Linked DNA regions of Caenorhabditis elegans. The protein of the gene in region 1 purifies or fractionates together with the protein of each later gene. This does not show direct contact. Each region holds a gene or a part of one and is shown on either strand. Other genes may lie near its edges.

Region 1 (5,735 bases):
TATCTTGAGTGGTCCTCGCAAAGCGAAGAGAAGCACTGCAACAAGTGCGATCCATAGGAGCCACAGGAAGGTCCATGAACAGGCCATGACCCCTAAAACACTCCAATATTAGGAAATATAAAAACTAAAAAGGCTTTGAGAGAAAAAAAAATCGATAAGAGATGAAATTGATCGGATCATTTTGCTCATTTTCGTGATGTGTAGGAAGCTAAAATTAAAAGGCTTTAATTTTGTTTGAAAGTTCTCAATTTCTTGTACCGCGCATGAAATAATAGTCAAAAATATTACTTTTAAGGCAAGATGCAACTTATTATCCGACAGCCGGTTGGTGGTTGTTGGTGACGTGCCAAAACAACGCAGAGAGAGAGACCGCGAGACATGGAAGACGGACGAGAAATCGATTCAATTCAAACCCTACGGCCGCGGCCTTGAGCAAATTTGTATTCTTTTACGTTAGCTAAAATATTTAACATTTCCGCATAAAACGCAAATTTTCATATTCGCAGCCTTAGTCTTTTTGAATTTACAGATTATTTTACGCTTGGTCGCTAATATATTATTTAAAACATATGTTTCTAATTTGAGTTTACTTTTGAAAGTTTTAAATCTAGAATAAACATTTTTAGTTAGAAAAAACGTTTTTTAATCAACCTATATCAAAATGCACGTAAGAATCGTGTCAATTTTCAATTCCGTTAGCTCAGGATTTTGCAAAACGAGAAAGGAATAAAACAGTTTCATCGGATAAAACAAATTCAATTTTTAATTTAAATTAAAAGAGTTTGAAATAAAAATAGAATTTATCGAACAAAAGTCGATAATTGGAAAACAATTGAAACTTTGTACGCAATTATTTGAAATCTGTGCAATCACCGTTGCTTACCGTAGTCGTGTAGTCCTCTCGGACAACTTTGATGCTTGGCTGATTTTTATTTCTGGAGTTTTTTTTTGTTTCTCCGGAGAAACAAGTTGATTAATCATTACTTTTTTAGTCAATCAATTATTATTTTATTCTCAGATGATTGTGGTGGCGCAGCATGTTCCGGATATGCAGCTAAATCCGATGCAAAGATTATTCGCTCCTCAAACCATGACAGATCTTGTTTCGAATATTACCGCTCCTATGACTGATGTGGAAGAAGCTTTGTTCAATCAAAGAGGAATGAAAGAGGTACAATTATTCTTCCAGTATAAAATTACAACACATATTCAATTTTCAGGCTCCCTTTCGCGATCTGGATCGAAGTGGAAAAGCGGTTTGTAGGAAAAACAAATTAAAAATGTGTCCATTCGGTCCAACATGCCCTCTTCGTCACATCGATGGAGAAAAAGCTGTCGTATGTAAGCATTGGCTTCGTGGTCTTTGTAAGAAAGGAGATCAATGTGAATTCTTGCACGAATATGACCTCACAAAAATGCCCGAATGCTTCTTCTTCTCTAAATACAGCGCGTGCAGCAATCGAGAATGCCCATTCCGACATATTGATCCCGAAACGAAAATGAAAGACTGTCCATGGTACGATCGTGGATTCTGCAGGCATGGACCATACTGCAAACATCGCCATCGTCGTCGTGCAGTCTGCCCCAACTATCTCGCCGGATTTTGTCTACAAGGACCAGATTGTCAATATGCTCATCCTTCATTCGGTCTGCCATCATTCGAGAATATAGCTGTCAGTCATGCCAAACCAACATACAGTCAAGCTATTACTTGCCACAATTGTCATGAAAGAGGCCACAAGGCAACTACATGTCCACATCTTCCAGGACAAACAAGACAAAATCAAGATCATCACCATCGTGTTGATCTCTCACTTATACCAGATAAAAAGAATCTATCAGATGTTACTTGTTACAAGGTAGGTTCATTTTAATCATAAAAAAAGTAAAATAATTCAATTTTAGTGCGGAGAGAAAGGTCACTACGCCAACAGATGCCACAAAGGAGCTCTCGCATTCTTGTCAAATACTGCTCACCTGGCTCACGAACAAAGAGAAAAAGATGAAAAAGAACAAGGAAGGATCAATAATATGCTAAGGCCGCCAATGTGAACATTGTCGAATATAGGAGAACGGGTGGAATCTGTTATTTTTGTTGTTTGTCAAGAATTCGAGACTGTTGGAATAAAAATTTAACCTTCCAATTATTTAATTTGTTGTTTTTTTAATATTCTTGGTTTGAAACCACAATTTTACTGATTAACATTACAAATTTATTTTATAGAGTTATATTAAGCTAACATTATTCAGATGACTCGAAAAAGACCAGCTCTTGCAGAACCGGTTTCATCTTCTCGATCACGGGTAACGAGAAGATCAACAACAGGTGCACCTTCTTCAAAAAAGAAGCGTTCACCTGAACCGGAATCTGATGCAGATTCTGAAGATGATTACGATGGCCCATCGACATCCCAAACCAAGAAATTGAAGCGGGGAAATTCATCGACGAATCGCGGAAAAGCAGCTAATAAGACAAAACGAGGATCTTTTCAAGTTAAACAAGAAATCATGGATGACGATGAAAATGAGGAAAAAATAGATGGAGAAGTAGAGAATGGTATAACATCCAGAGAACATTCACCTGATCCATCTACGTTCAAAAAGACAGCGAAATTACAAACTAAGAAGAAAAAGAAAAAAGAAAGCCCGCCGGAAACTCCACCAACATCACCAAGTCCATCACCATCGCGTTCGGTGTCTCCGTCTACAACAAAATCAGATATTTCTTCGAAAAAAGGACGCAAGGCTGTTGTAAATTCAGTATCAAAAGTGAAAATCGAAAAAGAATCTACACCAGTAAAAACGAATGGAAGAAATTTACCTCCTAAACGAAAAAAGAAGCCAGTTGAAGAAGAAACTGCAGAAGAAATTAAACTTCGTGAACGAGCTGAACGTAAAGCGAGGAGGATAGAAGAAGCTAAAAATCGTCCGAAACTAACTATTGAACAAAAACTGGCAAAACTTCGGAAGAAAAAAGAGCGAAGAGAACGGAGAAAAGAGCAAGAAAAGGAAGAATCGATGCGGCAGAAATATGGGCAACGAAAAATCAAAGCAGAAGCCAGTAAATGGAATTTTGGTCCGATATCATCGATTAATCAACGAAGGAGGGACGAAATGATGGCTTATTTTCCAAAAGCGAATTTTTTGGCCGAAGATGGTGTACCAAAAGTGATGAACAATTTTCGAAGAGCAACAGTGAAATATAATATGGAAGTTTTGAATCCATTCATTACGTGTGGAATTTGTGATGTGAGTTTTTAGTTTTAATTTATAAGTCCAAATATTTAAAAAAAAAACCAGATCATAAATTAAACTTTAAAGATCGGTTAAATTTTTACTTTGAATTTGAAGTTTTCTGAATTGAATTATCAGAAATTTCTGTATTTAAAAAAAAAAGATTGAAATAAAAAAAAATTGAAAAGAATTAGGATTTCTTGATTAAAAAAAATTACATCGTGTTTGTGAACCAGAATAAAAGAGAATAATAACCTCTCGAAGTGTTTTTCGGTAATTTTTAGTGCAATTTTTGAAAAAAATAGAAATTTTGGAAATTTGATCACTTTTTTGGATAATCTGAATTTGGAAATTACCAACACAAGTTAAAAATTTATTCAAAAAATTTTATAACTTTCCTTGAGTTGTTTGATCTCCTCTATTCCATTTTTTGTAGAAAACTAAACAATTATCGCACAAATCTCTGTTGATTTTTCTGGTTTTTCACAAAAAAATACTTCAATCACAAGCAAAGGCATTAAACTAAATGGAAATCACCATAGGAAAAAATTATATAAAAAAACTAATAAAAGTGAATTTTATTCCTACAGTCTTATAAATACAGAGTGCTTGGCGAGACAAAATTTGTATAATTTGCTTCCCTGGAAGCCCATGAAAAGGAAAAAAGATAACGAGGTTCCGCTACAAAATCATTCTCATTTCTAGAAGTTTTCGTTACGATCTAGACTTTAAATCTAGATGCATAAAATCAAAAAACCCATATTTCAAGAATTTAATTATATATTTTCAGGGCTACATCGTAGATGCAACAACAATAATTGATTGTATGCACACATTCTGCAAGAGTTGTCTTCTAACATATTTTGAATCGGATAACAACACGTGTCCAACATGTGGAACATTTATTCATGGATCTCATCCAACTCATTACGTGACTTATGATCGAGCAGTCAATGAACTTGTCAATCAATTTGTGCCAAAAATGGAGAACAACGAGTTGGACGTACGGAAAACGTTTCTAAGAGACTGCCGAGAAGCTCTAGGAATTGATACGGCAGCCGAAGATCGCGAGAGAAAAGAACGACTGGAAAGAGAACGAATAACTGGGACAAATAGATGTTATCCATTGGAAAGGCCTAGATTCTCACATCATAGAGATGATTGTCAAGTGACTGTTAATCTACTCCCCGGGACTGCTAATCTACCTCTTATCACTCGACCGTATGTTCGGTGCAGTGAGATGACTACTATGAATACTTTGAAAAAGTAAGGTTTTTCAAGTTGTATTCAAATTTTGGTTTTTAAAATTTTATCGTGATAACATAAAAGAAAAAATTAATTAAATTTGAAACAATATGACGATTTTGACTGATCTCCTCAGTTGAATTTCCGCGCATTATTCTCCGAAACCACGCCTATTTTTCCGTGCCGCACTTTTACTTTTTTTCAATTACAACTCAAAGTTTTGGTATTTCTCCGAAATTTCAAAAACAAATTTTTTCTAGATGTAAAAAAAATATTTATTTCAGGTTAAAAATTTTAAGGAAATTAATTTTTTTATAATTTTCCTTCTTTTTCAGATTCCTATCTCTTCAAATATGGGACGATCAGAGCCGGTATTCTGATTTAGACATGTTTTGTGACGGACAACTCATGGGAAAAGACTTTTCGGTTCGCTTTGTTTGGATGATGAAGCGCCGTGGTCAACCCAAATCTGAACCACTTATAATTCGATATCATATGACGAGAACATGATCTTCTTCTATCGATTTCTTCTTTCTTCTGAACTTCTCAAGAACAAATTCCCAGTTTTACCATGTTTTAGTACTGTACCATGTATCTCTATCTCTATATTTTGTCTCATTTCCTATGTTTTCATATTTATTAACTGCATTTTTTTTTCAAAAACAACCAAACCCCAAGATGAATAACACGTGTCTAATTAAATTTTTTTGTTGGTTTAAAATTTCTTCGATTTGAAAAACGTGAAGTTTCTTCTTCTGGAGAGAGATTTTATCGTCACCTTCAAAATATCCGCTTATTTCCTGTTTTCACCAGCCACATTTTGTTCTGCTTTTCGATAACATAGTGTTGGTAAGTGAGAGAGTGAAAGAGAAAGGTTCTCAGTGGGGCGCACTTGACGAATCCAGCTCACAGCGTTTACACCATTCCTTTGAAAGACATTGCCGAGTGGATTTGCAGACAAAATGGGAGTGAAAGCTGTGCTTGGCGATCTGCAAATCGTCGTGGAACGGCATTCAGACGTCTTACGGAATAATGCGTTACCGTTCAGATTTCTTGTTGTGCTACGAATTATTGGTGAGTTTTTGCCAATAATTATTATTACCCAGACGTGAGATTTTGCGATTTTTGGGCCAAAAATACCGTATCTGGTTTCAGCACGGCAAATAAAAATGCGTGTGCGCCTTTGAAGTGTACTGTAATTTCAAAGTTTTAGTTGCTGCGGAACTTTTATCGGTTTTTCGATGAAAATATATTTA
Region 2 (4,670 bases), 7.4 Mb from region 1:
CCTCCAGAGAGAAGAATATCTTCCAGAAGATCAGCGACCAAAAGTGGAACAGTTTTGTCTCGCAGGAATGGCTGGATCTTATACGGATTTCCACGTGGACTTTGGTGGTAGTAGCGTCTACTATCACATTTTGAAGGTATAATTATTGAAGGAATATAAATGGTTCCGCGGATTGTGAACGTTCTGACCCCGCCAAAATGTTCTCAAATTAACGAATTTCGTTTGAAACTTCTGAAAAAATTCTCAATATTTTTTTGGTTTTTTTGGAGGTTCAAAATTAAAAAAAAAAGACTAAATTTGGCTAAAATCTCCTATTTTCCGAGATTTTAAAAGCATTTTTGAGAAGCCTCATCACGAAATTCGTTGATTTGAGCACATTTAGGATCGTAATGTTCGAAATACCCTTCTTTCAACTGAAATTGGTTTTCTCAAAGCTTATTAACTCTATTTTCAGGGCGAGAAAATCTTCTACATCGCCGCGCCAACGGAGCAGAACTTTGCAGCTTATCAAGCACACGAGACATCTCCGGACACCACTACATGGTTCGGTGACATTGCCAACGGAGCTGTTAAGCGAGTTGTGATCAAGGAAGGTCAGACACTGCTCATCCCGGCTGGTTGGATTCACGCGGTTCTCACTCCAGTCGATTCGCTCGTTTTTGGAGGAAACTTCTTGCATTTGGGAAATCTTGAGATGCAAATGCGCGTGTACCATCTCGAAAACGCGATTCGTAAGGAAATTAGAAGCGAGGAGAAGTTCTACTTTCCGAATTTCGAACTTCTTCATTGGATGTACATGCGAAACGTCTTGCTTGAGAAGATTACAGGTAAGCAATTTACTAGTTTGTATAGCGGTTTTACTAATATTCGCTACATTTCAGAAGCCAATCAGGAAGGTTCTGACATGCGTGAGCAGGAGAAGAATATTTGGACGGCGTCACAAATCATGAAGGCCGAAATGGAGCGCTGGATGGATCGAGAGTTGAGATTGGGTCCCGAGAAGAACGCGATCCTGCCCACTGACGACAAGAATAAGATTATGATCTCGGTGAGGAAGCAGATTGAGATTCAGACGAAGATTCAGAATGCCAAGAATAAGCCGATGGGGTTGAAGCAGAAACGTAAAAGTCGAGAATCCGCGGAGCGGGATGATGAGGACTATTGCCCGTCCAGCTCGACTGCCTACAAGAAGAAGTATACGAAAAAGGCTAAGAAGGACAATGATGATGCTCCGAAGGTGAAGAAGGCGAAGAAAGAGGAAGTTCCCGAGGAGAAGGTTCCGGTTCCTGAAGCAGCAGGTCCTTCCGAAGTTACAGCTCCATTGACCATCAAGATTGGAATGGGACCGACTGAAGATCAGAAGGGCGTTGTCCAGATATTCAATAATCAATGCACGTCGTCTGGAAGAAAAGTAAAGTTGAATCAGAACGTGGCCGACTATTGTGGATCCCATCTCGAAGCACGCGTCGAAGAGATTCCGGAAAAGGCGACGAAAAGCTTCCGCGAGCTTGACAACGAACTGGAGCGCTGTGAAGCTGTTCATTCCGGAGAGAAAATCAAGAAGGTTAAAGAGCCAAAGCCACCGAAGCAACCAAAAGAGAAAAAGGAGAAACCACCACGTAAGAAAAGATCGAAACCTTGAGAACTGTTTAATAATTTTTTTTTTCAGCAAAGAAAAAGGAAATGAGTTCCAGAGATCGCCTCATGAAGAAGCTCAAAATGTGAACGTCCTCTACCTCAAGATATGTGTGCACTTTGACGAAATATAAATCTCGTACAATTATAAAGTGCCCCCCGATCTTAATAGTAATTTCCCCGTATTTTTGACTAATTTTTACATTCGTTTTATTGTTTTATTCACACAATCCCATATTCTTTCACGCGGTTCTTTTGCATCCAAAAATTTGTACAAGACGATCTCCCGAATTTACTGACGGGGATTTTTTTGTAGTTTGAAAATACACACGCACAATAAAGCGTTGATTATGTTAATTTTTTTCCTTGATGTGAACATTGTTGAAAGTGAAATGCAAGAAAATATCTGCTTTTTAGACTTTAAACTTGGATTTCCTAGAAGAGATCTCTCTAGAGAGTGAACAGAGAATTAGAGAAACGAGGCAAATGCAAATGCAAAAAAAGCTCTATGGAACTACTTTTTTCAGATTTTGGAATTTATTATTTATTTTCGGGTTTTAAAATAGCTTGAAATGAGCGACATGAGCGAACAAAGTGTTGAAATTGCTTCTTCACAACTTGGAACCAAGGATTTGTAAGTAAAAATTCTAAAAATTTACATCTAGAGTTGGCTAAAACATTTTTATTTCAGCTGGGATCAACGATACGAGTTGGAACTTAAAAATTTCAAGCAACACGGAGATGAGGGAGAGGTGTGGTTCGGAACATCGTCTGAAACACGAATCGTAAAATATTTAATCGATTCGAAAACCGGCAAAGATGCAAAGATTCTTGATTTGGGATGTGGAAATGGATCGGTTTTGAGGAAATTGGTATGGATTTCGAGCTCAAAACCTCTGAAATTCAGTTTTTTTTCAGAGATCGAAAGGATTCCAGAGTCTGAAAGGTGTTGATTATTGTCAAAAAGCTGTTGATCTTTCTGCAGCCGCTTCGAAAGCTGAGCGAGAAGAGGAAGAAGACGAAGAATTAGTAGATATTGAATTTGAGGTGTAAATTTTTGAATTTTGCATCATTAAAAACGGAGAAGAGGTGTTTATTCATCTAAAACATAAATTTTTGCATAAATAACGAAAAAATAGCTAATTATTTTGAATTTCCGCGCAAATAAATTACCTAGTTCCGACATTTTCGCGTTTTCCGACTAATTTGATTGGTTTCTTTTGTAAAAACACCGTTTATCAATTTTCAGACATTTTCCCGGGAAGAAGGCCTGAAAAGCGCTAAGTTTACTTTAATTTATAATTTTTTTGCGGAAAACTTTCTAAAAATTGACAAGGGGTGTTTCAAAAGTTTAAGGAAAATATAAGAAAATCGAAGAAAACGCGAAATGTCGAAACTAGGTTATTAATTTGCTCGGGAATTTAAAATTAATTCACCAATTTGAATTTTTTCTGCAAACCGCCTTTAAATATTGTTTTTCTCGAAATTTCAAAGCAAAAACGTTTTCTTTCAGCAATTGGACATAACCACACCGCCAGCCGACTTTTTCTCCTCGAAATTCGATGTAATTCTCGATAAAGGCACATGGGACGCGATGAGCCTATCCGATGAACGAGAAGCTCGTCTGAAAGCCTACTTGGGTTTTCTTGATAATGGTCTGAGCGCTGGCGGTCGATTTGTGATATTCTCGTGTAATTTCACTTTGTAAGTAGGCCTAAAAAGGGCCTCGAAATGAAACTTCTAAATAGGTCACTCCAAAAAATTGAGCGGCATACGAGCACTTTGAAACTGAGAAAAGTTGATCTGAAACAGCTTCCAGACCATTTTTTTCCATTAAAAAGTTTATCAAAAATTTGCATTGTTTTTTGACCAAAAATTTTTTGACCAAAGTTTTCAGTTAAAAATTGTATTTTTTCAATTAGGGAGATTTAAAAAAGAAAATCAATTTAGATATTTCCAACAATTTTCCAAGGTTTCAGAAAAAATCGGAATTTTTTTTGACTGAACCAAATTTTTTGATTAAAAAAAGTCAGGATTTTTGAATTTTTTAAAAATCGTCTCAAATTGTTCATTAGATTCAAAAAAAATATTGAAAAAATGAGCTGAACCGAGTTCAGATCGATTTTTTCTAGTTCAAAGTTCTCGTATGCACCTAAATTTTTTGAAGTTACTCTTTCAAATGACATATGCAAGTTCAAATACTTCCATTGTAAGTCGAAATCAATTGTTTTCCTTTTCAGCGACGAGATGTGCTCGCAATTCGGTGGCGGCGGCGGCTCAACAAGTCTAGAGATCGTGTGTGAAGTACCAGCAAGTCACAGCTTCTCGTTTGGCGGAAAACAAGGTGTCACTTCAACGGGTGCCGTCTTCCGGAAGAAGACTCTATAAACACCTCTCCTCTGTGTTATTGTTGTTGTTCATTTCTTTTCCCCCTTCCCCCCCCCCCCCCACATTTCTCCCATCGTTTCTCAGTTTCTCAGTTGTTATATAAAAAAAAAGTAGGTTTCTCTTATCTCTCTCCCACTGTGTTCTCTCTTTAGCTAATCAGGTGCATCATCATCATCATTTTAACGCCAGTGTTGCTCGGCATGATGGATCTTGGAGAAAGTGGCAGCAGACCCTTCTCCTCCTAGACTACTTTTCGCGGAAAATGGGAGTTTGATAGGGCGGCGCCTTCTTAGACGCGGGGAGCTCCTTCGTCTCCAGGGACTCCTTTTGAAGGAAGGAGATGGGGTGCTTGTGACCCGAAGATGGGGGCTCACTTTCGGCTCCGAGCACAAGTAGCAGCAACAGCAGCAGCTGCAGAGATTCCACGTTGTGAAAGAGCTTCTCTTTTCGACCTTTCGTCGCCTCATTAATCATTCATTCAATCTTTTTTACATGTTCGTTTTCTACCTCTTGCTCCCCTCCCGTACGCACACTTTTCACACATTTCTTTAATCCATCTGAACATGCATATTTCTCTTGTTTTCTTTTTGTTTTCTGGGTGACTTCTTGGTGGTTTTTTATTAGTCTGTATAGGCAGAGTGCCAAAG

What was found.
Region 2: the proteins of mig-32 (region 1) and F29B9.1 fractionate together in Caenorhabditis elegans (co-fractionation; one large-scale study listed by BioGRID). This does not show direct contact.

Annotation. Positions count from the first base shown.
Region 1 is NC_003282.8:12,088,729-12,094,463, reverse strand, and holds mig-32 (Polycomb group RING finger protein 3 homolog mig-32), read left to right. Parts: upstream 1-2,250; coding exon 2,251-3,249; intron 3,250-4,024; coding exon 4,025-4,500; intron 4,501-4,814; coding exon 4,815-4,989; 3' UTR 4,990-5,178; downstream 5,179-5,735. Other genes in the region: F11A10.5 (Protein ST7 homolog), read right to left, coding at 1-87; cpsf-4 (Cleavage and polyadenylation specificity factor subunit 4), read left to right, coding at 1,049-1,171, 1,221-1,859, 1,906-2,052; F11A10.6 (Transmembrane protein 115), read left to right, coding at 5,442-5,553. UniProt on the Caenorhabditis elegans protein: Component of a Polycomb group (PcG) multiprotein PRC1-like complex, a complex class required to maintain the transcriptionally repressive state of many genes, throughout development. Required for ubiquitination of histone H2A.
Region 2 is NC_003282.8:4,663,217-4,667,886, forward strand, and holds F29B9.1 (Protein-lysine N-methyltransferase CELE_F29B9.1), read left to right. Parts: upstream 1-2,162; 5' UTR 2,163-2,207; coding exon 2,208-2,269; intron 2,270-2,326; coding exon 2,327-2,507; intron 2,508-2,553; coding exon 2,554-2,682; intron 2,683-3,148; coding exon 3,149-3,339; intron 3,340-3,875; coding exon 3,876-4,023; 3' UTR 4,024-4,075; downstream 4,076-4,670. Other genes in the region: jmjd-1.2 (JmjC domain-containing protein), read left to right, coding at 1-136, 455-827, 882-1,619, 1,670-1,725.